Ovis aries: one gene and its partners. The protein of the gene in region 5 purifies or fractionates together with the protein of the main gene of each other region. This does not show direct contact. Links are inferred from orthologs where the notes say so. Each region holds a gene or a part of one and is shown on either strand. Other genes may lie near its edges. The genes, in order: USP49, CHUK, PHLPP1, protein argonaute-1, FKBP5, MCMBP and CDK9.

Region 1 (4,229 bases), about 6.0 Mb from region 5:
CTGCTCCACAGAATCTGGAATCCATGAACATAGCAGCTGAACCCAGAAATTTAATTTAATATTCTAAATTACTCACCTATATTAATGACCAATGTTTCTGATGTCCACTAATCAAGATCTAATCTTTGCTAACTATCACAGATCCCATAAAGGTGATCTTTGCTATTTATACAAATATCCAGAAAACAGTGGCAATCCAAAATTTACACAACTTTAAAGAAAAAGCATCTTTGTGTATCTGAAGGTACACCAATGAAATAACCTCATATAAGAGTCTCAAAAACAGTTTGTGGTTTTTTCCTAAGTAAATTATATGCTGTCCTTTGGTATCATCAAATGCAAAGTAATAATCGTTCATATTTTTAGCTAAATGTAAAAGCTTCAGGATTAAAAATCATCAAAACAAAATACTTGGTTAAGAATAACCTAAATTTTGTCCCAAATTTATCTTCCTTTAAATTCCCCAAAGTGTCTTAAATATAAAAAACTTATTCTAGAAAAATATTAATTTTTTTATTCACACCTACAAAACAGGAGAGGCAGTGGAGCTGTCCAAGGCTCCAGCATGCATTACCTTACAGGTTATGATAAAATTACTCATAAACCCATTATTTAACTGAAAGATAAGTCCCACTGTAAAAGCCTCTACTATTCTAAATCTCCCTTTCTTTATTCCATTTTTGTCAAATGGGTGAGTTCTCTACTACAGTACAAAAAGTCACACACAAAGCTAAAGGCAGCTAAACCCTCAGCACGCTGATTTAAATCTCTTCCCCTGCAAACTTCCCTGGTTGGCTATTTGCCTTTCTCTGAAATGATTTCAATGTTCTCCAGCCATCAAAAACAAGTAGGCAGAAATTTGGTTGATTAAACAAAACGAAAAGATTTTCATCTTTATCTATCTCAATAACAGGGTGCTCGCCACTGAAAATAAAAATGCTGTCGAGAAAGCACTGCCTAGCGCTTGTCAGGTACCACACTGCTACAGCACAACACTGTCACACCATACAGGCACAACCACACTGGAAATACAACCCAGTTTCCTATGATCACACCACCAGTAAAAGGCAGAGCTTCTCAGCACCCAGTTGACACTTTATCGTTCATACAAGAACAAAATCAAAATGGGTCTCATCTTTTCAAAGTGGACATGAAAAGTCGATTTAAAAAACCATGAAAGGTGGAAGCAGATTCAAGATTCCTTGAAGAGAGAAAGAGGTTTCTGGAATTTCCTACTTTCATGGACAAAAGGACTCACACTTTCAATACACTAACAGTTCTCTTCTCAACAAAGAATTCCTTTCCTGCACCCCCCACCTCCACTGTTACTTTTTAGTTTTTGCCCCTATCTCTAGGTCTCTTTTCACTCACCATGGTTCCTCCTCTTCTGCACCAAAGGCTCCCTACTCTTGATCCTTCGCTAGAGAGTCTGTGCCCTGACCCATGTGAACCTTCTGGAGCATCTCCCCCAACTGTGCAGTCTCCCCCAGGTTGAAATCCATCAGGCTTCCCCAAGCTTCCCTTAACTCTGTTCTTTTCCCTCACTCCCCATCTCATCCTTTAAATCCTGGGGTCCATCTCTTCCTTGCTCCCCTCATCCTATGCTTTCAGCCTTGTCTCTTTACCTCAGTCTGGACCTTGGATCTTGCTGAACCTCGGCGATTAACACAATTCCCCAGTTACCCTGTCCCAGACCGCCATCACTTCTCACACCCTCACTCTCTTCTTTGAGCTTTTCTGGCCCCCGAATTGTCCTACAAACGCCCCATCTCTCCTGTCCATTGCTTTTCACCCTTCCAAATCGGCCGCACTTATTCCTAACTCCACCTGGTTACTAGTCCAGTGTTTAATTCCCCTCTTCCTCACTTTCAAGAATTCACACCCACTGCCCATCCACTAACCCATACCTTTCTCAGAACCTCGCAGTTTCCACCCATCGCCGGTCCTAGTCGTTCAGCTCATCTCGCCCTGCACTAGTTCACACCCTTGTCACGTCTGGCTCTTAATCACTCTCTCTCTACTCCCAACTACTCCCCCAGCTCTGCCCCTCCTTGCCTTCCACTTCCAACTCCTACCCCTGTAACCCTCGCCCCACTACCATCCCTTACCAAGCTTTCCCCTCCAGAACCCTGCTCTCACACCTAACCGGGGGAGCCCTCTTCCCGGGCTCGGTCCTCCTAACCTCATTCCCGGCCCGGATTCCTTATCACCCAGCCTGGGCTTTGCCTCCTTCCCACCTCCTTGGCTGGCTTTTCCTCACTCCTTCTCTCCCTGCCTCCTACCCCTTTCTCCCCTTAATCCTCTTCATCTCATTCTCAGATCCGTTCCCCCGAAACGCCCCCAAGCCTGCCTTCCCTTCTCCCCTCCAGGCTTTTACCCCAAACCCAGCGGTCGCCCACCCCGCCAAAATAAAGGGCCGGCGCGCCAGGACAGCCGGCTCTCGCCTCCCGCGGGCCCCCGCCCCGGGCGCCCCCAGCCCGCCGGCGCCGCGGTCCCGCCCCCTGCCGCCACTCCTCCCGCCCGCTAGCCGCGCGCCGCCTTTGTCGCCCCTCACCCGGTGTGTGAGGATTTTGCTTCTTTAAAGGGGAGGGCCAGTGTGCCGGAGACTCCTGTCCCCGCCTCCGAGTCTCCGAATGGGATCCCTGGCCGTCACGTCCTCCCCGGTTCCCGTCCCCCCACTCTCTGGAGCTACCCCCTTTGCGGCCGCCCCACCTCCTCCGCCCCCTCCCCCGACCCCCCTCTATTTACCGCCATCATCAGCACGCGCGAGCTGTCACCAGGGCGCGAGACAACCGAACGCGGCCCCGCCCCCTTTCCGCCCATTGGCCCGCCCGCCGGAGCCCCGCCCCCCGCGCCCCGCATTGCGCCAACGGCGCAGCCTAGGGCCCCGACCCGGCACAGACATCCTCTCCGGGGGTTCGCGCGGCGGCCGCCAAGTTTAGGGTTAGCCACCGACGCGCGGCCGACTTGAGCCTGGCGTAAGGGGCGGTGGCGTAAAGGGGCGTTGTGAATCGCGGGTCGAAGTTTGGTTGAAGCACAGGAGGGTAAATAAGGAGGTTTCCAGACAAAGAGACTCTTAAAGGTACAGAGTCTTACGGCCGTCCCTCCTCCTTAAAGGACCAGAGACTCACAAGAGCCCATCTCCGCCCCCTTCCCCGCAGCCCTTCAGCCTGCGGAACTGTAAAGGAATCTTACGGTAGTTCGCTGCACTCCTTTGGGATGGACCGTCTTTAACATCTCTTTCCACTGCCAAGCGGGAAAGCGTTCCTCATTATACCGTCTAGGTTTTTGTTTTGTTCTGTTAAAAATAAGACTATCAGTTTTCACGGTGTCCAAAAGATCCTGAGTCAGCTTTTGAAGAAGCTACACTATTGGTTCCCAGGCGATAGAGCAAGTGTCTCACTTTTGCCACTGATGACAAAGTCGGGATTCCGCCTTTTTATGGAAATTCCCCTAAGGAAGTGGTTCGCTGCTGCTGTAAACTGAAGAAGTTCAGCAGAAGGTGGGGATGGAGACCCCAGGGAAACAGAACTGCGGCTATTTACAAATCTTCTCAACGTAAGAAAAAGTTTCCTTCCCGAGGAGCCTCTTGGGTGCATTGTCCTGACATAGTTGGGGGGGGAGTTCCTCCAAATAAGACCAACACTGTTACATCACCCAACTGCAAGGCTGAAACAGGTAAAGGCTTACCTTTAAATACAAGCGCAAGGAAAAGAAACACATTCTTTACTACCTACACTGGCTCAAAGCTACACACTTGTAAATATGAAACAGAATTAACAGAAGCCAAAGAACAACAAACAAAATAAGAAGGGGGCAGGGCATGTGCATGTGTAAGCATGAATCTACAGCCTGGAGTCAGCTCTGTGAAACTTCCAAAGGTAACTAACTTAAACACTTTAAAAACGTCTGATGAAGCGATAAATCCTAGTGATTGATTAATCGATTTGATGAGGATTTGCCGTGTGGTTCAAGAGCTCAGTGTTCCTGTTCAGTGTGTGACCCTTGGCCACCCCATGGACTGTAGCCCTCCGTGGGATTTTTCAGGCAAGAATACTGGAATGGGTTGCCATTTCCTCCTCCAGGGGATCTTCTTCACCCAGGGATCAAGCCTCCATCTCCTGCACCTAGTCACCTGGGAAGCCCACAAGTTAAGACCTAAAATTTAGCACTCCCTTTGCTAACACCTTTAACATAATTTTAAGGAATTCGTATCTTACATTTTAACT
Region 2 (3,500 bases), on a different chromosome or scaffold from region 5:
TCTGTGCTTTAACTGCTTATATAGATCAATTGCACGCTGTTCCCTATGAAAGAGAAAACATGTTCTAAACATGAAGATAGTTTAACGACTTTTTATTTCCAACTTGAAATGAACAATATTATTTGAATAGAGTAACGACCCTATTTTCAAGTAATTATATATTGCCAACGAATATTTTACAGGGTGTTTCGCTGGGTAATAAGCAAGATCTTAAGATGCAAAGTTTAATATACTAAGTATCTGCTCTGATCTACCATCACTTATATAGTATCTCTGCACCAGAAACACTTAAATGGGAAAAAAATTATGTCCTGTGATTAAAGAAAAAAAAATCTGAAGTTTCTAATCCAAACACTTAGGACGTTAACCTTATTTAGGGAATTTAATAAATGATACCTTCCTTAAACCAGAAGTGTGGTAAGTAGGGAAATAGTTTGAACTTAAAATACTTGAAAAATTAGTAACACTCACATGAAAAGATGCTTCGGTTTAAAAAGCAAAGGTCATGGAAAAGAATTTGAAAAAGAATAGGTGTATATATATATATATATATATATATATATATATATGGGTGAGTCCCTTTGCTATATACTTGAAACTAATCACAACACTGTTAATCAACTATAATATAACCCCAATATAAAATAAAAAGTTTTTTTAAAATAAATAGTAAACATCAACCCAAAGAGTTATTGCCAAAATTTCCTGTGATTAGGAAAAAACTTCCTTTTTAAATATGATGCCAATGTATTTGTGGAAAGAAAACTATAGAAAAGAACCACATATAATCTTCCAGAAATACAATGAAAGAATAATCTGCTACCAAAAATTACAGACACCAACACTAACAACATGACTTCACCCTTACAGAGATTCCATCAAGTCTCCCTGACGTCGTCCGTAGGGGCTCTTCTGTAGCTCCATGATTTCAGTGTGCAGGGACATGATTTGATCCTCCAGGTATCCAATGACACCCACCTAAAATATGATGAAACACAAAAGAAATGACAGGCTCACCACCACACAATATGAGGAACTCAGAGAATAACTTCTTACAGTAACAGAACAAAGTGATTTAATGTAAAACACTGATTTTGTTCAAGTCTGTTTGTCTCTCAGATTATGGCATGTAACTTTCATATGAGAACCAACTTATTTCAGGCTTCTCTCCTGACAACAGTAGACTACTAGCATTTTCTTTCTCCTCCTGAGAAGGAAAAAGACAGAAGTGTCACTAATAAGTAAAAGTGACTATCAATACCACTGCATCTTGGTTCTACAATTTTCAGTGTCTCTTGTTCCCAACTTGAATAAGGATGCAGAAAGATAAAGACACTGGATTTCCCAACCCAGGATACCAACTGCCACACTCATTCCTCAGGAAGTGCTGGCATCAAGGAGAGCAACAATTTAACGGGACCACAGACAGATGTACCAGGTAAAGAAGGAATCTGCCACCTATAGTGTGACCATAAAAAATTTATTGTCCAAACCAGCAAAATTTTGAGAGTATTATTGATAATAAAGGCTTCCCTGATAGCTCAGTTGGTAAAGAATCTGCCTGCAATGCAGGAGACCCTGGTTCAATTCCTGGTGGGAAAATCCCCTGGAGAAGGGATAGGTTATCCACTCCAGTATTCTTGGGCTTCCCTTGTGGCTCAGCTGGTAAAGAATCCTCCTGCAGTGTGGGAGACCTGGGTTCAATCCCTGGGTTGGGAAGATCCCCTGGAGAAGGGAAAGGCTACCCACCCCAGTATTCTGGCCTGGAGAATTCCATGGACTGTATAGTCCAGGAGTCACAAAGAGTCGGACACGACTGAGCGTTTTTCACTTAACTAACTTAACTAATTGATAATTAAGGCAAGAGAGGTAAACGAAAACTGTCCCGAGTAAACCAGGATGTGTCCAGCCATCCTATCAAAACCAGTCTTAAAAATAACAGTGATAACTACCATTTATTAGTCACTCCCACTTAAATCTGTATAACCCCACTAAAAAAGGTCCCCATAATATAACATGGAAACTGAGGCTCAGTGAGGCTTCATTTTAGTCTCATTTACCCAAAGCTCTTGTTTTTATCCACTGTGGTACTTCCCTCTACATACACATACTAGGTATCTGTCTGATATTCAGGAATGATATGAGAAATACTCTACAAACCAAAACCAAAGAATTTCTAAGGGAGACCTCAGGAGTTAATAAGCACACAGAATGAGCTCAGTGATTTTACCTCAGCATAGTGGATAGCCTTTTCTTCCATTTCTTTCCAAGCTTTTAACATTTTTTCTGAGGCTAAAAAAAAAAGTCTTAATTGGTTATCTCAGAAATAGCCATAGGTTTAATTACTGACCTACCCATCTCCTTGCCATATTAACATCAAAAACAGAGTTATGAGTTGAATTGTTCCCCCAAAAGATGGTGAAGCCCTAACCTTGTACTTCAGAATTTGACCTTATTTGGAAATAGCATCAGGTGCAATTAGCTAAATTAAGGTTGAGTCTTAACCTAGTATGACTAGTGTCCTTTTAAGAAAAGAAGAAGAAACACAGCAACAGACATATGAACGGGAAAGCGCCATTTCACAACAGAGGCAGAGACTAAAGTGCCACAGCTGCAAGCCAAGGAATGCCAGAAGAATCTAAGGAAGGATTCTTCTCCATAGGTTTCAGAGAGAGCATGGCCCTGACAACACATCGATTTTAGACTTTAAGCCTCTGAAACTGTGAGATAATAAATTTATATTGTTTTAAGTCACCCAGTTCATCGCAATTTGTTATGGCAACCCTGGGAAACTAATACAGATGACTTTCTCTTAATAAAAAATAAAAAAATTTTAAAGTAATACATGAACATGGTATTTTTAAAAAATCAAACACTATATAGAGATATAGAAGTCTCCTCCCCTCCACTCTCCACTTTCTGCGATCCCAGTGTTAATCATTTCTTACAGCGACACATCTCCTTTTCTCCCATAAATAGAATCATCTCTATATACTTTTCCTTCCTTGCTTTTTCCTCCAGCTTAAAGCACTGCTGCCTTAAAGATCAAGTGATCTTTTAATATCAGCACACAGAGGTCTACCTCACTCTTTTTAAACAGTAGTCTAAGATATACAACTTAGTAAGATAAGTCAAAGAAAATCTGATGAAATAACTATGTTTTGCTATTCATCAGAATGCCTATAATACACAAACAGAAATAAAATATCAATCATAGAACCAGCTTTGGTAAGAAAACTTATTTACCCAGCTGGACACTGTTGATCATTTAATTCTGAAATATACACACCTTGCTCAAGATAAGTATACAAACAGAAATGCTGAAGGCAACTCTTTTGGTTTATTATTTGAATTTTAACTCTGCTTTTTACATTTCCTTAGTACATCTGAAGGGAGATAAGCTTAGAATTAAATACCAAAACATTGGAGGCTATGTACAATAAAAAACAATGGGACTCCACAGTAGGTTGTTTAGAAACTTTAAAAAAAAACCCTGAAAT
Region 3 (4,227 bases), on a different chromosome or scaffold from region 5:
TCTGTTAACTTTACACCAGGATAAGTTTAAAAAACAAACAAACAAAACACCTACATATCATCCACTCAGAACATTTTGGACACACCTGAAGAGACAATCAAGGGGAATCAAAGGTTTAAATGCCACGACTAGGACACCTAAAACCCCACGGACATTCATCATGGTCAGCAAGTCAACCACGAGGAAAATGAGGCATGCAGAGCTCTTTCCATGCAAAATATGTGCAATATGTTCAAAATATGCTCAACACAGCCCTTGCTTCTTTACACACACACACACACACACACACACAGGCATTTACCATTCTCATGTTAACAAAACATTCACTCCAAGCATGATTACCATTTAACGCTTTCATAAAATAACAGTATTTTATAAATTACACGAGCCACAAGAGAGGAGAAGAATTTAGTTGTTGCTCCTACATTAAAAAAAAAAAGTCACCTATTTTCTAGGCCATAATCTTTTTAAAGACTTGTCATCAGGTTGGGGCATTATCTTCAGGTACTGCAAAAGCTATTGTATTACGATATGGTTTTCTTTATGAGGCCAAAATCCATCAGAAACCCACCTGAATTATAGAAAAACCTCAATTAAACATAAAGGAACATCTCACCAGGAATGCTACCAGTCTTGCATATCTCAATGGAGGGTGAAGAGCTCCTCATTCACAGCGACTAAACTGCTGCTAGAACCCAGGTGTGGACCAAGAGCATGAAGCTGGAGGGAATGGCTGCAGATGACGCGATTACAAGCGGGACTCTCTCCACCACCACCTGCAGCCTCAGTGCAGAAGTAGTCTACTACTTTAGTGAATTGGGGGAAGATGTAACTCCCGATTTAACTATTACACTAACCTTGTTTTAAATAAAATTCCTTACCACTAAAACATAATTCTTCAAACCAGCAGAGGAAAAGGACATAAAGAACTTATTAAGCTCAAATATACAGCCATAATTTAGCACCAGCTAAAAGAGAAACACTAGTCCCCCGTGGTCAAGAACTTGATCTAATGTATCAATTCTATCCCAATGAAAAGATTTAAGATCTTTAATCTAGAAATGAAAATAAGGATGCGGAGGATTTTAGATCGCACTCAGTGAGAGGCGGCAATCAAAAGTACTACTGTGACCGCTATGTATCCCTATTGGAAGTCACATAGTCAGTTCTGACTATAAAGGTTAGAGGGGAGAAACTGAGAGAAAGAAATAGGCAAAACCACTTCTGATGCAAGAAGTACACTTGCAGAGGAGACTGAAACAAAGCCAAGAAGCGCTGAAGAAAAGCATCACTAAAGAGGATCGTGGCTGCCGGGTTCCACCGAGGACTAAGTGGGCAAAGGACAGGACGGGGAGCAGGAGCAGGGCACCGGCCGACCCGGACTGAGCTCCGGGCGGGCGCCGCCGGCCGCGCAAGGCCGGACGCAGGCCGGGTGCTCCGGGTTTCCCGCGGTCCTTTCCCTCCGCTAGTTTCACGGCACGTGAAGTTGCCCTGAAGCCCCAAGCCCCGCAGCCCGAAGGCGGCACTGTCACTGCAGGGCCCCTCTCAGGAACATGTGCGCCCGCGGCCCCGCCGCCTGCCCCGCACCCGCGGCGGGAACCGCTCGGCTGGGTCCCACCGGTCTTCCGCGCGAGCGGCGAAGGGCTAACAGAGCCCCGAGGGCGCGCGTGCAGGTGACCGCCTTACCTGCATAGAAGCGGATGAGGCAGCCAACCTCCGAGTCCAGGCCCTCCTCCTGCACCCTCCACAGCGCCCCGAAGCCCAGCTGGAAGAGGTAGTCGTTCTGGATCTGCAGCGGCTTCTCGTCCGCCTCCAGGCGCCGCGCGGTCTCCCCGTGCAGCTGCACATACAGGGTGGGCGGCGGGGGCGCCTTCTCCGCGGCCGCCGCGTCCCCGCCCGGGCTCTCCTCCGCCGGCCGGTCGCGGGCGGCGCCGCCCGAGCCCTCGACGCCCCTCGGGGCCGTCGGCGGAGGTGGGGAGGCGGCCGGGGAGAGCGGCCGGGAGCCCGACGAGCGGCCGCGCAGGCGGGGCTGGCCCGGGTCAGCCTCGAGCTCCTCGGACGACGATGAACAGTAGGGATCCGGCGGGCGCGACGCGCCCTCGGCGCCCGGGCTCGGCCCGGGGCTCTCGGGCTCGGGGGTCCGGCCCGCGCCGTCCGGGGCCCGCGGGGAGCCCGGGCTGCAGCCCGCGGGCGCGGGGCCGGCGCGGGAGGCGCGGCGCGGCGGCGGCCCCCCGACGGCGGGCAGCGCGGCCTTCCCGGGCGGCGGCCCCGCGGGGGCCCGGCCCGGCACCTTCAGCACGCCGCCGGCCCTGGGGCCCGCCTGCAGCAGGCGGGAGGCCACCTCGCCGGCCGTGGTGTCCAGCGTGCAGAGCACCGGGCGCAGGCGGCTGGCGGCCGGGTGACGGTCGAGGACGTGCACGCAGCCGCGCTGGAGCTGGTGCCGCACCCAGTCCCGGTCCGACGGCTGCAGCGGCAGCATCTGCCGGGGTCGCGGGAGCAGCGCCCGGCGGTCCAGGCTCCGCGAGCACGGCGGCGCCGCGGCCGGGCCGGGGGCGGGGAGGCCGGCGGGGCGCGGGGCGGCGGCGGCGGACGCGTTCCTCTTCAGCCGGCCTCTCCTCAGCAGCAGCGAGCTGGCGCCGGGCCCCGGGGCGGCCCCGCCGGCGGCGGGCAGGGGCGCCGGGCCGCGCCGCCGCCTGCGAGCCGCGCCTCCCGCCCGGCCCGGCGCCGCGGTCAGCGCGGGCCCGGGGCCGCCCGCCGCGGCCCGGCCCTCCGCGCGGGTCTCCGCGGCCGCGGGCTCCATGGCGGCGGGGCTCGGCGCGGCCCCGGCTCGGGGGGCAGCGGTCGCACAGCGAGCGGGGGGCGGCGGCGCCGCCAGTGGCGTTCGCGCGGCCGTTTCGGGCGATTATGTGGCGGTTCGGAGCGCTCCGTCGGCGTCTCGGTGTTCCATCCCGCGCGCCCGCCCGGCCGCCACCGCCCCCCGCCCGCCCCTCGCCTCGCGCAGTCGAGCCAGCCGCGGAGCCGGCCTCATTGAATATTAATCGCGCGCCGGGAGCGCCGGGCGGGAGGCCGGCGGGCGGCGCGCCTCATGAATATGCATCACCCGCGTGACGGCGACCCCGCGGGCGGGCGCGCGGGGCGGAGCCTCGGGGTAAACAAGCGGGACGGCGTCGGGGGGCGGGGCCGCGCCGCCAGGCGCGGGGCCTTCCTGCGCGGGCCCGAGAGGGGAGGGGCCGAGAGACGGGCGGTGCGCGATGCCACCTGGGAGCTGTAGTTCCAGGCCGCGGTCAGGCGTCCCCGAGGGGGACCGTGGCGAACTACAAGTCCCAGAGATCCTCCAGCACCGCCCCGCCGTGCGGCCCGCCGCGGGCCCCGGACTGTGGGTCTGGTGCCCTCTGATGGAGTCGATGCTCAGCGGCGTTCGGTTCATGAACTTGTAGTTACCCGCCCATTCCTGCTCCCCGAGGCTTTCGTTTTCCCCGCTGGTTGAGACAGGGCTCGAACAGACTCCAGGCGGCACGAAGGTCCGGGCGCTCGGTCTTCCCCTCACCACCTACGAGCTCGCCCGGAGGCAGTCGTGCGGCCCCGGCCCGGCCCTCCGCGGGTCCTGTGTGAGGAGAACGGCCGAGGACGGGCCCTCTCCCTGCTCAGCTTGAGGTCCGAAAGGACTGAGGACACGGAAGGCGATGGGAAGCAGAGGTAACGCTGGAACGGAGGCGTGGGACAGAAGAAACGGGCCCTGCGCTCTCTTTTAACGTCTTCCCTTGGTTTTTCCTTCAGTATTCAGAAAAAATTACATTCTGCGACCGCAGTGTTAGTCGTGGCGTAGAGTTGTACTTTCTTGTCGATTGAAACAATATTGTAGGCTGGATTAGAGAGGTTACTGTTTAAAAGAATTTGGTAAACCTTTTTAATTGAATTACCATTCCTCCGTATTGTTTCATAAATCTGGATTTTTACATATAAGACTTGTGCAGCTGCAAACAATCCCGGGCCTGCTTAACATCAATAAAGTTACTTAACCTGGGGGTGAATTGGGGGTAGGGAGTTTAAGGAAAGAGGAAGGAGAGAGAAACAGGGAAGAAAAAAGAAAGAAACTGGAACTTGTGGCTGAAATAATAGAAACTAATAAGGGCAGAGAAAGGTGTACGTGGGTTATCTACACAGTTTTACTGAAAAGTAGAAGTTACAGGACAAAAAATATTATCTTGATTCTTGAAATTCCTGTAG
Region 4 (3,500 bases), on a different chromosome or scaffold from region 5:
TGTAAATGTACTATGCCAGCAATTCTAGTCCTAGGACTTTATCCTACAGATACATTCATACTTGAGAGCAAAAATATCTCTATTAATATTCTACACAGTTTCATTTTATAGCAAAAGTTTAGATTTGACCTAAATGCTCCTGAATAGATTTATTATTAAATATCTTATAATAAAGAATGAGGAACCTGTAGGTACTGATATGTATCACTTTCCAAAATATGTTGCTCAGTGGAAAAAGCAAGGTGCAGAGAAAGATGTATAAGATTCTATATTCCGTGTGTTTTAAAATGTTTGTATACAAATATGCTTGTATATGTATAGAAAAATATCTGGAAGTATATGAAGGGTAATAATGAATGCATCTAGGGAAAGGGACTAGGGGACTGGAGGTCAGGGTAATAGGAGACATTTTTCACTGTTACTCTTTCTGTAATATTAAAAACTTTTTTTTATATTGTGCATGAATAGTTTTCAAATAATAACAAAATAAATTAATTTTGAGAAGAACTATTACTTCTTCTAAGGCTAATTCCTCAAACTGTGTATCCTGTGTGTCTTCCTGCCTTAGCCAGAACATCCCACTCATTCCTTTCCTCCCTGTCCTGTACCTTTAACTTCTCCTACACTAGCTCCTTCTTGGTTTATAAACATATCCACATCTCATTCTTAAAAAATTTTCATTTATTCATTTCCACAAATAATGAAATGCAGCAGGCTTGAGCCCTAGAATCTTCTCAAGCCAACACATTCCTTCTCTCCCATGCTTCACTATCAACTTATCTAGCAAAAAGCTATCTGCTCTCACTATCCCTACCACATCACCTTCCACTTATTTCTTAACTCACTCTTACCAACTGAGCCACCAGGGAAGCCCCTATTCCTTAACTTACTCTTAGATTACTAGCCCAACTCCTCCACTGGAACAGCTGTAGCAAAAGGTTATCAATAGTCTCCATAGAGCCAAATCCAGTGATCTATTTCAACATTTACCTTAAGTTAGAATCTCTTCCTTGAAAATGTTCTTGAATTTGGTGATATCACCTTCAATGAGTTTTTCTTTTACCTCTCTGGATTCTTTGAAGGCTATGAGACTTAGGAAAATAAGGACTACCTGACTTAATGGCTTCTGTGCATCACTTACCGGTTGACTCTGCGAGGACACTTATCTGGCTTGATATCCACTTCGTAGTGATAGACGTCAATCTTAGGGATGTCCACTTCAAAGTAATTGGCCAGGAGCTTGATTGGTTTCCCCACAGTGCCAATGCCAGGCCGGCGAGGTGCCTGGAACACCTGCTGCAGGGGGGGCAGGTAGGCACCTGCAGCTGCAAGACAGAGAGCCTGGTGAGGGTACAGTCTGGTAATCTCCTTACCACTCTGATCAGAGACAGCACAAGGCCTCCTAGAATGAGAACAGCAGAGTGTAGGGGAAGCCTCTTTCCTGTCTACCCAACCTAAATGAGGACTTCCACTGGTTGAAACCCAGGCCATTTTTTTTTTTTTTCCAGTTAGGAAAATTACCCTTGTTATCTATCTTAAATTCATCAAGTGAGTACATAATAACTTCCTATTACAGGTTAAATAAAGGGACTAAATTTGGCTCTTTCTTTCCTCTACTAGATTGAGACATCTGCCTCCACCAGGTATCCAGCAGACCTTATTATCTGTCAGCTAGATGCTCACTTCACTCATCACCATCCTGAACACACAAAAAAGCTCCTGAACACACCTTAAAGCTCCTCCAACTGCAGGCAGGAGGAAGACCTAAAGAAGGCCAAGTGCCAGGGCAACAAGCAAGGAAGAAGGCCAATGTCTGGGAAAAGATTAAGGCAACAGAATGGCTGAGGTTGGAAAAGGAGAAAAGGTTAACAGGACAGATTCTGGAGACCAAGGAAAGGAGGCTGAAACAGGGAGCTGCTAAAGGCGCTAGAACTGGAGGTCACAGCAGAAAAATGCTTGAATTGGGAAGGAGGAAAGGCTGGAATAGGGGCTGGGGCAAGATAGGTTAGAGCTGACAGCCTAGGCAGGTACTTCCTGCAAGTGGGGAGAGAATGAAGCACAATTTCAAAAGAAGAAAAATCTAGGGAATGAAGGTAGGCTAAACATAGGTGACTAAGGCAAGAGCAGGCTAGAGTAGAGGATTTAGGAAGGAGGGGCAGCAATTATCATGCTGGAGAAGATGAGATTACTGGCTCTGGGAAGAATACAAAATTCTCTCCAGGCCCACATCTCCTTCCACACAGAGGGCCCCAACAGTTGCAGTAGGGATCAATTTTAAGACACTGGAGGCCCCTGAGAAAGGGCTAGGGCTGGGCCAACTCCCACTACGTTCTCCTCTAATGCCAGCAGCCTGATTGCTGCCCTTGGTTTTATTTTCTAGCTTGAGGGGAAAGGGAAGACAAAAGGAAAACTGCCTAAGAGAACCCTTTGTCCACATCAACTATTGTCCTGGCCAATAGAGGACCAACCCAGTTGGGAGGAGAGAGGGATAAAACAGCCGAGAACCTCCCATTATCAGAGATCTGCTTTCACAGTTGGCCAGGCTGGGGGGAAGGGGCATATCCTCAGCTGGGGGGGTCAGGAAGAGGTCAGAACCCTTCAAGGGAGGGGCATGCTTCCCAGAGCTAACTGCTATGTCTCCTTCTAACCACCTGTCAAGCCTACCCTACAGGGAAACAGGGAAATGGAGGCCCAGCCTGAGGAGAAAAGGCCTTCAGAACTCGGCTACCTGGGGGAGTAAAAGCTTAACTACTAGCACCTGGCCACCTACTGTAGAAAGAGCTGGACAGAAATTATATACAAGCCATAGTCAGACATACACATCCAAACACATACTTAGAACAGGACAGTTTACCTTCGTATACATAGCCCTCACCAACCTAGATTGTGAGTTCTTCAAAGATACAAAGACTGTATCTGCCTTGGTCACTGCTGAATCTCCAGTGTCGGGCATAGAGGAGGTGTTCAACACACAGAGAAGAAACGAATTAACAAACAGAACTGTAGACATCCCACAAAGAACACACAAGCACAAGCACACACACACGCACACACACCTGCAAACTGCTCAGAAACAATTATAAATCCAGCTCAAACAAGACCCTAGAGGAAGTAGCTGGTAAGAGATACCCTTCCCCTCCCCACGTTCTTACATTCCATTCACCTCCTTAGCCTCCCAGGCTGCATAATTGCTTGGAGTCTTGGGAGAAAGACATCCCCTAGAGCTAGGGGCTGGGTAGAAATGATGGGGGATGGGACAGACACTCTAGCCTCAGAGTCTTCTCTTCCTCAGAAATAGGACTACACACCAGGCTTAGCCTTAGGCACCCTCCATTCCTAGGAGGCTCTGGGAAAACAGGGAGGCCCCCACGCTCCCCTTCATACCCAAACTAGGGAAGGCAGGAGGAAGAGAGAACCTCTCTCCCACCCCATCCTCCTGCAAGTCTTACGGCAGTACAAAGTTCCCCCAACCCCACCCTGCCCCCAGCTTTTAGTCTGAG
Region 5 (3,500 bases):
ATTATTAAAGAAATGTTGAATTTAAAACTATTCTAGATAAATATTCAGTACATTTACTCTTTTAAAGATTTTAAAAAGGAAAGCTCCATTTTGTCCATATAACTGGGACCTCTCACAGCAGTACTTACTCTCTACTGTCGCTCCCTCATTTGGGTTTGAATACCCTTCTCCTTTCCGTTTGATTCTTCGAATAATACCTCCATCTTCAAATAAATCCTCTCCTTTGAAATCAAGGAGCTCAATCTAGAAAGGAAAAAGGGATATGGCTGAGAATGGCCCAAACAATGTCAATTTAACATACTTAAATGCTAGGGCAACTATTCTCCTTTCATTTTACAAAACAAAACTCTGTTTTATATTTATCTATGCTTCTCAGTTATTGGAAAAGTAGGGAAAAAAGAACACTGCACTTTTCAATACCTGGAAAGAACCTTCACTTAATGATAATGTCTAGGACCACATCCTGTGGGGCTACACTGCAAAGACAGACAGGAAATACTAGGAAAACTGCCTTGTGGGCAAAACGCCAGAGTGACACAGTTCTGGCCCAAAACTACTTTGTTTAACTCTAGAAGCCACCACTTTTTCACCCCAAATTCATGGGAATTCCCTTCTTAAAATGTAAGACTAAACCCTATGAATCAGGCCTACAACCAACTAAAGGCGTATTTTACCTGTTTACAATGTTTCAGGCATTTTCCCTCTTAATTTTTTAATTAAGTGTGGCCAAATATGTGTGACTCAACACAGGATGAGTAACATTTTATCACCACCTACTGCTTCTAATGAGGAAGTGAGATCTAGGACAGTTATAAACCTCTGTCATAAAAATAGCTTTACAACTTGGTTTAGGTGTATTTCAACATTTATCTCCCACATTTCCCATCCTGTCCTCTGGTCGAGTCTGAATATGTCACAACTCAGACCACTGATCAGAACCTTTATTTCTAAGCCTGGTTTCTTTTGTTTATTTGGATATGACCGTTTTGTGCCAGAGACACGTTTCTAAGAAAGCACTGGCACACACCCCTTGGGTTTGTGGGAAACAATTCAAGAAGCCAAGCTCCAAAATAAATAAGTTGGATCCGATTCTCAATAGCAAGCTTAGCTCCTCGTTGCACTGCCTGTCGCTGTGGAGCCAGCACTGTAGTAGAGCAGATGCTAACAAGGCAACATCACACACATACTTGCCTCAAAAAAGAGAGTTGCATTCGAGGGAATTTTGGGGAGACTGCCAGCTGAGCCATATGCATATTCTGGTTTGCACAGTAAATGACAGATCTCCCCTTTCTTCATGGTAGCCACCCCAATGTCCCATGCCTTGATAACTTGGCCTAGGAGAAAGGAAAAAGTGGTTGAAAGCTATAGGCTGTATTTTAAGACTTTCACAAAACAAAAATTCAAACACATTTCCCATTCCTTAAACGATATACTACTCAGCTAGGAAACAGGGGCTACAAAAAAACTCAGTAAAAGTTACACACTAAGAAACAAATTGTGATTTTTTTTTTCCTGAGAGCTAACAGAGAAGATTCTCTGCTGAGAAGCATGAAAGTGGTATCAGATTCTACACTGCTCAAAGACTAAGTCTTTGAAAAGTAGCAGTAACATGATCTCTGAAATGTGGCGGGGCTGCAGTTGTTGGTTAATTTATAATTTTAACCATAAGAATAAGTGCGTGTTTTCTAGGCAGAGATGGAACAAAAATAGTATAGAAAATGGAATTTGTCCTAAGAAAGCATATAATTTAGTTGGGTAGACAAAAACAACAAACAAGAAGCAGTCGGAAAAGTATAAATTGCATAAAACGGCGCATGAAACAGATTTCTCCTCAAAGTTTAGAGTAAAAAAAAGAAGTGGTTTTTGTTTTTCTAAAAAACCAGAATGATGTGTGTCTTCTTCTGCCAAATCACAAGAACTACAGAACTCAGAAATTTTTTTTGCTTACTTCCAGGAAACTAAAAGTTTACTGTAAAACTGTATTTTTTTTTTTTTTTTTTGGATATGGACCATTTCTAAAGTCTTTATTGAATTTGTTACACTACTGCTTCTGTTTTATTGTTCTGGCTTTTTTGGCCACAGGCATGTGGTATTTTAGCTCCCGATCAGGGATCAAACCCACACCCCCCCGGCACTGGAAGGTGAAGTCTTAACCACTGGACCACTGGGGAAGAAACTTAACCTACATAATTGGATCTTACAATAAGCAGTTCCAAATCCTTTGGAAAACAACAGAAAATGTACAAAACTTCAAGGGATGATATACAAATTTGAGGTGCTCTGTCAAAGACTTGAGTATTCAAAGTGAGACCAGGTGAGCAATGAACACCAGAAAAAGCAAAATTTTGAAAACAGCTGTTATCTTGAACTGAGAGCTGATGGTAGGACTACAGTAAGAATGATTAGAATAAGAGGAACTCTACACTAAGGTATGTAAGTACAGAGGGACAAAGCATTTGTGACTCATGACTTCAGCTTAGTCTTAAGCATTACAACTTTTCAAAATATCAGATATACTTATTTTAAAGTGTATGTAAGGTATACATGCCTATTTTTACAAACACCTAAGAGAGAAAGATATGAGTGAAAAGTCATTCATTCCCTCCTTATAAGAAGCCACTGTTGTTATCTCTTTTTTGTATCTTTCCAGTGTGTGCTGTTGCTTTTTAAAAAATTTAAAACAAAAGGACAGCATACTATACATTCAGGTCGGAACTGCTTTTTCATTACATAGATTCTTATATACATATATTTTAATATATATAAATATATGACATAAAATGCTATAAATATATATAGACATGTTTATAATTTATATATGTATGTATACATGCTTATATACACACACTTATATCTTTATTCATCAGCTGACAGGAGGATATGAATTTTAGGGGTCAGCAGTATAGCCTGCGTTAACTCCAGACTGCGTAAATTAGAATACCAGGTCTGTCGCATATTAGTTGTGTGACCTTGTCCAAGTTTCCTTGTCTGCAAAATGTAGATAATAACAGTACTTGCCATATAGTTGTTATAAGAATTCAAGTGCCTGGCATATAATATACACTGAATAAGGAACAGTCGTCATCATCATCATCAATACATACTGACCTACTTCATGCTCAGTGGCTTCAGAATATTCCAGTCACTCTACTCTTGAGAAACATTATCATCAACAGTACTCTAATAAGGATTTTTGTCCCTTATGTTTGCCTTTTATGTGCAAGTATATTTGGAGAGCAAATTCCTAGAAGTGCAGAGGTGATGTGCACTTTCTATTTGATAGATATTGCCCAACTGCCCTTCCAAAAGGGCTGTATCAATATACATGCCCACACACGGTTCCAAAGTGAAAACAGTCTAGAATCATTAGAGGAAATGTCAAGTCTGCTGCTGACAGGCTGCTTCACAGTCACTGATGGTCCTCAAAGACTGTGGCTGGTTTTAGTGTGGTCCATACAGAACTTTTTTTACTCTCAACTCTGCTATTTTAAGACCAATAA
Region 6 (4,185 bases), on a different chromosome or scaffold from region 5:
ACATGCTTTACAAGTTAATTTTCAGGCTTCACAGGATCCTATAATTACATGCAGCAGAAGTTACCCAACTCAGGTTCCCAAAGAAGAGTAAGATTTAGCCAGGAAAACAGAAGTGGGAGAGGAAGTCTTGACCAGGCAAAGGAAACAGCCTATGCAGAAAGCCTAGTGGCGTGGTTTAAGATCAGAGAACTGGAAGAAGGTTCAGTGTGAGGGGGAATACCGTGATGAGGTCTGAGAGCTGGGCAATGTGCCTGCCCAGTTGTGTCTGACTCTTTGTGACCCTATGGACTGCAGACTGCCAGCCTTCTCAGTCCATGGGATTTCGCCAGGAAGAACACTGGAGTGGGGTTGCCATTTCCTTCTCCAAGGGATCTTCCTGACCCAAGGATCAAACCTTCATCTCCAGGGTCGCCTGCATCACAGGTGAATTCTTTACCACTGAGACACCAGAGCTGGGCAGGGGTGGGGCCAAAAGGCCTCATAAACCACAAAAGATGAGTATACTTTTCTCTCTGGGCGAAAATGGATTTACAACAATTTCCTATTAGACCAAAAAGAGTCTACAAGTTTAACACCTCACTTCTCACACAAACATACCTGTAATGTTGTTGTTATAAAGCTATCCAATCCCATATATTCACAGTGATAGGAAAATATAGCAAGAATATACATTATATATCAAAGCAGCTTCTACAAAAACATCATGACTGTAAGACAGGATTAGTTTCTTCTCTGCAAGACACAATCTGTATGAGAATAAGACATTCTAGAGGAAAAACACATCAACAAGGTCCAGGTCATCAACAAAACACAAACTTCAGAAAATACTGTAGAGCCAGCATTTTATATCCAAATTACACCTACTATACTATAATGAGTTGTTTGCCTCTTAGGGTCCTACAAGCAGGAGACAAAATCTGACACAAATACATTCAAATATATACTAAATATAAAATCATCTCATTTATCCAGCCAGACTAGGACATGGATATTTCTCTTAAATTTTCTAAACATCAATTAAGCACCAAAACTTACTTACTTTTGAATGATTTTCCCTAAAAAGTGTCTCTGTGTCTGCACCCTCTTAAACCTACTGTGCAATTTAATCTTCACTCCACATTTAAAGGCCATTATTTTGGAAAACAATTATGGGTTCTAGTATTCATTATGAGCATCAATTACCAGGATTTAGTAGAGAGACATATGCCCCTTTTTGAAAAGGGCCCTGGATGGATATACAGGGATTAAAAAAAATTTTTTTAAACACTATGTACATAGTTTGAAATTTCTCCTTTAATAGGTTGTCAGTGTTCACTGGCTACAATTTGGATGCCTACCCAGGGCTTTTCCTAATATGCTGCCTCTAGTTTCAGCCTGGGAAACCAGACAACTGAACAAGTTCAAATCACAAGGAAAACGAATAGAGTTGCTCAGTGAGCCTTTCCTGCAAGAAATACATTTTCTGCCATCCGTTTTGGCTGCTGCGGACTATTTAGCTTCTTAATAAGCGTTCACGCTAATATTCCACAAGGTCTTAAGTGAGGAAGGCCACTTTCCAAGTTCAAGTTACCTCCTGACAAGTCAGGTGTTCTGATCTTACACACTGATTCCCGGTTGGGTTTGCCTCCACCACTCCTGAGTGCAAAAGACATGCGGGGTGGGGCCAAAATGCCTAGTGAACGGCAACCAGACCTAAATTTTTCTTTGTGTACCCTACCCGAAAAGTGTCATTAACCATGACTGCAAGTGAAATTTCCTGAGCTTGCCTGCCACATGCTAAGCTCTTTCTATGCAGGAACGCATCTGAGTTCGTTCACCATTTCTTGCTAGCTCTGGCCCAAGAGGAGATGGGGAGACGAGACATGTTTTAAAGGTGTCCTAACGGAAAAAAATCTAAGTTATCACACGAAATCTTATCTCGAAAAAGGAGGATGTGTGTAACCCAGGAGTTACAGCCAACTTCTGCAGCGAGCGAGCAAGCACGCGAGCACTCCCCCCACACACCGGAAGTTTTGAAATGTCCTGCGGGCTTCCCATAGGCAAAGTGCTTTTCCCTTCAGCACATCTCTGCGGGTCCTCCCGAAAGGTTCGAGGACCCCCCAACCCCAGAGTCCGGCCGCACGCGGGGCTCAGGGTCCGCCCGCGGGGCCACGAAGGGGGAAGCGAGGCCGTCAATCACGGCCGGCAGCCGGCTCCTGGCGCCGTAACCTTGGTGGCTCGGGAGTCGCGAATCGGGCAGGTGGGAGGCACCTGCGGCCCGGGCCCGGGCAGCCGCGGCCCGGACTCTCCGGGCGGGAGGGGGTTGCCGAGCGCCGGCGGCGCAGGCCCGGCTGACCGTCTCGGCCGCTCGAGCCCTCGAGGCGGCCCCGCCTGGGCGCCGCGCGGCAGGGTCCGGGCCCCGGGGGCTCGGTGAACTCGGCGGCCCGCCCGGACCCCGCCCGCCCCCCGGGCGCCGCCACTCACCGAAGAAGCCCTGCACGATGCCCAGCGGGTGGCTGAGCCAATCCTCCCCACAGGGCATCTCGCCGACTGGCCGGAGCCGGCGCGGCCCGGGCGTCCCGCGCGCCTCTGCTCCTCGTCGGGGGCTCGGCCGCTCCTCGCCCGCGCCCTCCCACGCAGGGAAAGCCTCGCGGCGCGGGCCGCCTGGCCTCCCCGCGCCTCAGGGAACGGCGGCGGAGGCGGCGGCTGTGAGGCGCTGCCGGCCACGGGCAGGCGGCGCGTGCGGGCCCCCAGCCTCCACTTCGCACAATGGCGGGAAATAGGCGCCGCCGCCGCCGACCGCGCTGCCGGCGACCTGGGTGGAGCTCGTGCGGGGAGGGGCGGCGGGAGCGCGCAGCGCGGCCCCGCGGCGGGGAGGCGGGGCGGCCTTGCTCCGGGGAGAGGGGGTGGGGCTCGGCGGGGCGGGGCCGCGGCGGCAGGGCGGTCGCCATCTTGGAGACGGGCGAGGGGAAGGGCAGGGGTGGCCTCGCGAGCATGCCGCGTGGTTACTTGAGGGCTGCATATTGCTCGGTGTCCCTCTGCAGACTCCAAAGGAGAAACTCCCGATGTCTGGTTTATCTGTTTATAGTGGCGAGGCCTTGCGCAGGTCGGAGACCGCAACAGTCCAAGAGCACAAGCGCAAAGAGACCTCAAAGTTATCTCTGGGCAAAATTAGAAGGTAACGTTGCCTCTGGTGTCTGCCCACCTCGTCCCGCCTCTTAGTGGTTTTTTTTTTTTTTTTTTTTTGGCCAATGGCAACTCTTTTGTTTGGTTCCGTGCTAGAAACCCCCTGTAATGACTTTCCTCCACTGGATCAAGTCTTCCCTCGACTGGATCAAGACAGTGGTATCTGTACACAGAAAAGATCTGGTTAATAGTAACCTTTGAATGAGGAAATTTGGAAAATATCCAAGTTCTATAATGAAACAGCCCCTAGATCTGAAATATATCGGAAAAAACCCTCCCTCTCATAACCTGAAGTACAGCGTATTAACAGAAGGATGATCCGAATGCGATCATCTCCACTCCCTAAAAAGTGAGGAGCTGGAGAACTGAACTCGGATCTCAAGCCCTCCTTAGGGCAAAAGGGTTTATTTTGTATCTGTCACTGTGAACTAATTACATTCCTCTGAATCTGGTGGGCAAGGCTGGTTGAATACCCGGATGTGGAAACTGAAGCTATGGAGACCTGATCACGCAGAGTCGTCTGTACTATTTCGTACCATTTTACATAAGAAACTCTGGCATTCAGATATCTGTTCCTGGAACCAATTCCCTGCAATTGATACCAAGGGATGACTGTGATTGGCATATTATACTATACATCTGGCTCTTGTGAGTTTGGGTGAGCTGAGAAAACGGTTTCAAATCGTTGGCATTACTACTTTCATTCATTCATTTAGCTTAGAAGGGCTCGAGATTCCTGGTATTGAATAGAGAAATCTCCTATTTAGCTTTGTGACATACAATCTTTTAAATTATAATAATTTCAATTTGCTGTATATGAAATTGCAGCTGGACACCAATTCAGCAGTGGCTAAGAACACTTCAGCTTTTGGTTTCTCCCTCTGTAGTCAGTGATTTGTAGACAATTGTTCAGATTTAACTTTAAGAGACACTGTGATCCTACTGAAATAATGTGAATAATTTCACCCAAGATGTTTTGACACTACTAATGAGTGGTTATGAAAACTTAAAAGGCCAAGG
Region 7 (4,038 bases), on a different chromosome or scaffold from region 5:
GGGGGTGATGGAGCCGCAGAGCTGGCTGATGAGGGCGAGCTGGTGCTGCTCCGTGTTGCCCTGCATGATGGGGCTGCGGGTCCACATCTCCGCCATGATGCACCCAGCACCCCACAGATCAATGGGGGGGCCGTAGTCCCGCTCCCCTGGGAACAAGAGCACACCAGGGAGGGCCCCCTGAGCCCCATGGCCTCCTGAAAGGCCACGCCCCTGGGGCCGATGGCTCAAGAAGCCCTGGCAGTTGGGGTGCTGAGACTGAGCTGAGTGCCCAGCCCCTGCTCCCCTCTGCCAGCTCGGGAGAGTCCTCACCGAGCAACAGCTCTGGGGGCCGGTACCAGAGGGTCACCACACGGTTGGTGTAGCGGTTGGGCTGGCTGTTCTTGGCCAGGCTGAAGGCCCGGGCCAACCCAAAGTCCGCCAGCTTCAGAACCCCATCGCGGGTGATGAGCACGTTAGCCGCCTTCATGTCCCGGTGCAGGATCTGCAGGAAGCACAAGGCGGAGGGTTCCCAGGGATCCCTTAGCCATGCCCACCCCGCTGTGAGCGCAAAGGCCAGCCCAAGCCCTGCTCTCTCCTCCCCAACTAGGGCCCCCACCTTGTTCCTGTGGATGTAGTAGAGGCCGTTAAGCAACATCTGCATGACCCTCTTGATCTCAGATAGTGTGAACTTGACTAAGACGTTGCTCAGTAGCCCAGCAAGATCATGCTCGCAGAAGTCAAACACCAGGTATATACTGCCTTTGCAGCGGTTATAGGGGGAAGCTGAGGCAGGAAGAATGAGGAGGAGAGAGGGGGAGGCATTAAAAAAAAAATCAGAAACCTTACATGTAACTCATTTCCTCCAAACTAGCTCCCAACCCCTCCAACCCATGGCCACCCCGAATATCCGGGTACAAATTCCTTCACAGGTAAAACATTTTCTGAGTGCCTTCTCTGGGCTGGGTGCTGTGGCAGGCCCTGGGGAAGCACCTGCTCCGATGAAAAGACCAGAGAAAGCAGTCACAGTTGGAATGTCTGGGTTAAGAAGAGGCAGTGTAAATGTGTCCAGTGTCAACTCCGCAAACAAAGCCTCAGTTTTTCCATCTGAAAATGGGAACATGATCCAAACAACTTACCTTTGGTTCGACAGATCTCAATCAAGTTGACCACATTCTCGTGTTTTAGAAGCTGGAGGATCTTGATCTCCCGCAATGCTGTAATGGGGAACTGGGTGGGAGAAAAGACAGGAGGAAGTCAAAAGTGGGTGAGCACACTACAGACCCAGGAACTGACCATGGGGTCCACGCGAAGGGTCATAGGCTGGGAGACAGTAAATGCACAGGCTCTGGAATTAGCTGTCTCAGATGTCACATATGTAAAACGGGAGTAACTATGTACGCCTCATAAAGAACTGAATGAATGAATCAAAATAATTCAATGAATGATCCGAAACAGTGACACTTCACACAAAGGTTCTGTTACCAGTCATCAGACGCTCCGCAGTTTCTTCACCCTTATAAATTTTAGCCCTATGCCTGCATTTAACCTGCTTGGCAGTTAACAAATATATAATTAAAGAAGCTGGTCTCTGGAAAGCTGAACCAGAACTAACACACGTGTGTGGCAGGAGAGACTGTTGCTTTTCAGCTGAATACCAATCACCTTTTCAAAGCCATTGCATGTAATTATCATTATCATATATATATCTTTTTTGCGTTCAACAAAATTAAACCCTAAAGAAAAAGTCTTTAACGACTTCCTAACTTCAAAAACCTAGGGGCACTGGGTACAAGCATGGGCTCCCCCGCCTGGCACCAACCATATTCACCCAAGAATGAAGTATCAAAAGCTCTAAGACATCTGAATTCAAAGACTGAACTGGGAAGTCAAACTTCCTGGAATATGGAAATTTCCAAACACCTAATCTGAATCTATTACGTTGAGAGTCCCCAAACCAGAAAGGTGGAAACGCAACCTCACGCCCAAAGGAGCTGGGAGACCTGCCCACCCCACCCCATACTCACCCCCTCTTTCTCGTTCTCCATCAGTACCTTCTTCAGGGCCACCTTTTGGCCGGTCTTGCGGTGCTTTGCCTTAAACACCTCCCTGCAGGCGGAGAGGGGAGACCCAAGAGGGCTCTTAGAGGACGTTTCCGCAGAGCCCGCCCCTCCCCCACCAGAGGAGGCCCGGAAAGGGAATCCCGGGCGGGGCTGGGCCGGGTCCCTCACGGCACTCGGCTACCCCACCACGCGGTGACTCTGGTCCCTTCTCGAGTCTCAGCCTTCTTCCCTCTGCTCCTTGCGCCTCACTCGGGCGTCTCGCAGAGAGATCCCGCACCACTCACAGGCTCCTCTCTGCAACCCCTCCCTGCCCCCCCATTAAGGGCCTCAGGCTCCTCCCAGCCGGCCGACTCCTTCAGGCCCCGGCGGGGTTGCGGTGCGGCCTAGCGAGACCAGGGGATAAGTTTGCGTCTAAGTGGCTTCCCGACCAACCGGGCCCGGGTCTGGGCGTCCCGACGTCGGCCCGGAGGGGTGCAGGTTCAGGAGGCTCCCGGTCCCTGGGGGTTGAGGGGGGGCCCAGCCTTACCCGAAGGTGCCTTGGCCGATTTTAGCGAGCTTCTCATATTTGGTCACCTCATCACAAAAAGGGCACTCCACCGAGTCGTACTGCTTTGCCATGGCTGACTCCAGTGCGCCGCCGCCGCCGCCTCCAGCCACCACCGCCGCCGCCGCTGCTGCCGCCGCCGCTCCCGCTCCGGGTCCCGCCGCCGTGCTCCAGGCCCCTCCGCGGCCGCGCCACTTCCGCCTCCACGGCCACTTCCGGCCTCGAGGCGCCGACCCCGCCTCTTCCGCCCGCCGCCCGCCGCCAGGCCCCCTGGGACTTGTAGTTCCCGGGAGGCCAGGAGGAGCCGAAGCTGCAGAGGCGCCTCCGCCACCGCCGCTGCCCCCGCCTCCGCCGCCGCCGGCGCCGGCGGTGGCCCCGATCGGGGGCGCGGGGAGCCGGGGCGCCGGGGCTGGGGCTCGAGGTGGTGCGTCCCGCTGCATCGGCTCGGGCCGCCGCCGCCGCCGCTGCCGAAGCCGCTGCCGCTCTGGCGCCCGATCCGGGGCCAGCCGCAGTGCCCTGCTCCTCCTCCTCCTCCGACGGCGCCGCCTCCGCCGGGCTGCGCTGGGCGCCGGGCGCAGGGGGGGTGGGGGGGCGGCCCCCCGAGCCGCGGCCTGGGGGCTCCCTGGCCGGGCCCGGGCCCGGGGCGGCCGGGCGAGGGGGCCAGACGGAAACAGCCGATGAGGAGGCGGCCCGAGAGCCCGGGAGGGGGCGCGTTATAAAGGGGGAGGTGCCCAGGCCTCGCCCTCCCCTCCCCCTCCGCCCGCCCCCTCCCTCCTCCCTTCCACCCTCAGCGGCCGCACCTGCCGCCGCCGCCGCCTGCCTCCCGCCCGCCCGCCGCCCTCGGCGCGTCACCGCCCGCGGCCCCTCCTCCGCCTTCGGAGGTGGGGCCCCGCGCTCAACACCTGGCTTCGGGGCGCGACTTACCGCGTGCCTCAGTTTACCCGCACATGCCAGCCGCAGCGGGGAGTCCCTTCCTCCCCGGCTCGGGATTTCCCCACCCGCTCTCACACCCCACTCTACGCAGGCGAGGACTAGAGGTGCCGAGAGAGCGGCCTCGGGTCCGGGGAAGGGAGAACGGGCCCCGACCGCCGCCTCCCCGGGCCCCCGCCGACCCGCCGTTGATATGGCAACCGATAGCCGCCAGGGGGCGCGGCGACATTGAAGGTGGTGAGCCAGCAACGCCTGGGCCTTCCACTCCTGGATCCCCACCCAGTTCTCTGGGAGACAAGAGATGAGACCCACAGGACTTTGGTTCCTGCCGAGCTGCTCCCTAACTGGTCGCGCCCCGGGTTAGTAGTCACAAAGGTAGCCGGCATTTCGTCGGCCCCTCTTGTGTGCTCTGGAAGTGCTGGGCATTCCTACTGAATCCTGAATCCACCGCCCATAGTCAGGATCACTAACCAATTTTACAGAAGAGCACATTGAGGCTCGGAGAGGTGAGGTCATTTGCTCAAG

What was found.
Region 1: the proteins of FKBP5 (region 5) and USP49 purify together in Homo sapiens (affinity purification with western blotting; 4 studies listed by BioGRID and IntAct, with this or other methods). This does not show direct contact. The link is inferred for Ovis aries from reciprocal best matches to the Homo sapiens genes FKBP5 and USP49.
Region 2: the proteins of FKBP5 (region 5) and CHUK purify together in Homo sapiens (co-immunoprecipitation; 4 studies listed by BioGRID and IntAct, with this or other methods). This does not show direct contact. The link is inferred for Ovis aries from reciprocal best matches to the Homo sapiens genes FKBP5 and CHUK.
Region 3: the proteins of FKBP5 (region 5) and PHLPP1 purify together in Homo sapiens (affinity purification with mass spectrometry; 4 studies listed by BioGRID and IntAct, with this or other methods). This does not show direct contact. The link is inferred for Ovis aries from reciprocal best matches to the Homo sapiens genes FKBP5 and PHLPP1.
Region 4: the proteins of FKBP5 (region 5) and protein argonaute-1 purify together in Homo sapiens (affinity purification with mass spectrometry; 6 studies listed by BioGRID and IntAct, with this or other methods). This does not show direct contact. The link is inferred for Ovis aries from reciprocal best matches to the Homo sapiens genes FKBP5 and AGO1.
Region 6: the proteins of FKBP5 (region 5) and MCMBP purify together in Homo sapiens (affinity purification with mass spectrometry; 3 studies listed by BioGRID and IntAct, with this or other methods). This does not show direct contact. The link is inferred for Ovis aries from reciprocal best matches to the Homo sapiens genes FKBP5 and MCMBP.
Region 7: the proteins of FKBP5 (region 5) and CDK9 purify together in Homo sapiens (affinity purification with mass spectrometry; 10 studies listed by BioGRID and IntAct, counting the BioPlex papers as one, with this or other methods). This does not show direct contact. The link is inferred for Ovis aries from reciprocal best matches to the Homo sapiens genes FKBP5 and CDK9.

What each region holds. Positions count from the first base shown.
Region 1 is NC_056073.1:15,702,061-15,706,289, forward strand, and holds the start of USP49 (ubiquitin carboxyl-terminal hydrolase 49), read right to left. Parts: upstream 2,801-4,229; 5' UTR 2,555-2,800; intron 2,465-2,554; exon of another isoform or gene 1,372-2,464; intron 1-1,371. UniProt on the Homo sapiens protein: Deubiquitinase that plays a role in several cellular processes including transcriptional regulation, cell cycle progression or innate immunity.
Region 2 is NC_056075.1:20,893,291-20,896,790, forward strand, and holds part of CHUK (inhibitor of nuclear factor kappa-B kinase subunit alpha), read right to left. Parts: intron 2,293-3,500; coding exon 2,231-2,292; intron 979-2,230; coding exon 869-978; intron 44-868; coding exon 1-43.
Region 3 is NC_056076.1:61,361,164-61,365,390, reverse strand, and holds the start of PHLPP1 (PH domain leucine-rich repeat-containing protein phosphatase 1), read right to left. Parts: upstream 2,801-4,227; coding exon 1,687-2,800; intron 1-1,686. UniProt on the Homo sapiens protein: Protein phosphatase involved in regulation of Akt and PKC signaling.
Region 4 is NC_056054.1:10,826,130-10,829,629, reverse strand, and holds part of protein argonaute-1, read right to left. Parts: intron 1,326-3,500; coding exon 1,142-1,325; intron 1-1,141.
Region 5 is NC_056073.1:9,745,277-9,748,776, forward strand, and holds part of FKBP5 (peptidyl-prolyl cis-trans isomerase FKBP5), read right to left. Parts: intron 1,335-3,500; coding exon 1,192-1,334; intron 244-1,191; coding exon 129-243; intron 1-128. UniProt on the Homo sapiens protein: Immunophilin protein with PPIase and co-chaperone activities. Component of unligated steroid receptors heterocomplexes through interaction with heat-shock protein 90 (HSP90).
Region 6 is NC_056075.1:39,499,846-39,504,030, forward strand, and holds the start of MCMBP (mini-chromosome maintenance complex-binding protein), read right to left. Parts: upstream 2,801-4,185; 5' UTR 2,522-2,800; coding exon 2,464-2,521; intron 1-2,463. Other genes in the region: SEC23IP (SEC23-interacting protein), read left to right, coding at 2,974-3,157. UniProt on the Homo sapiens protein: Associated component of the MCM complex that acts as a regulator of DNA replication.
Region 7 is NC_056056.1:8,430,806-8,434,843, forward strand, and holds the start of CDK9 (cyclin-dependent kinase 9), read right to left. Parts: upstream 2,801-4,038; 5' UTR 2,658-2,800; coding exon 2,566-2,657; intron 2,086-2,565; coding exon 2,004-2,085; intron 1,207-2,003; coding exon 1,116-1,206; intron 763-1,115; coding exon 596-762; intron 482-595; coding exon 310-481; intron 147-309; coding exon 1-146. UniProt on the Homo sapiens protein: Protein kinase involved in the regulation of transcription.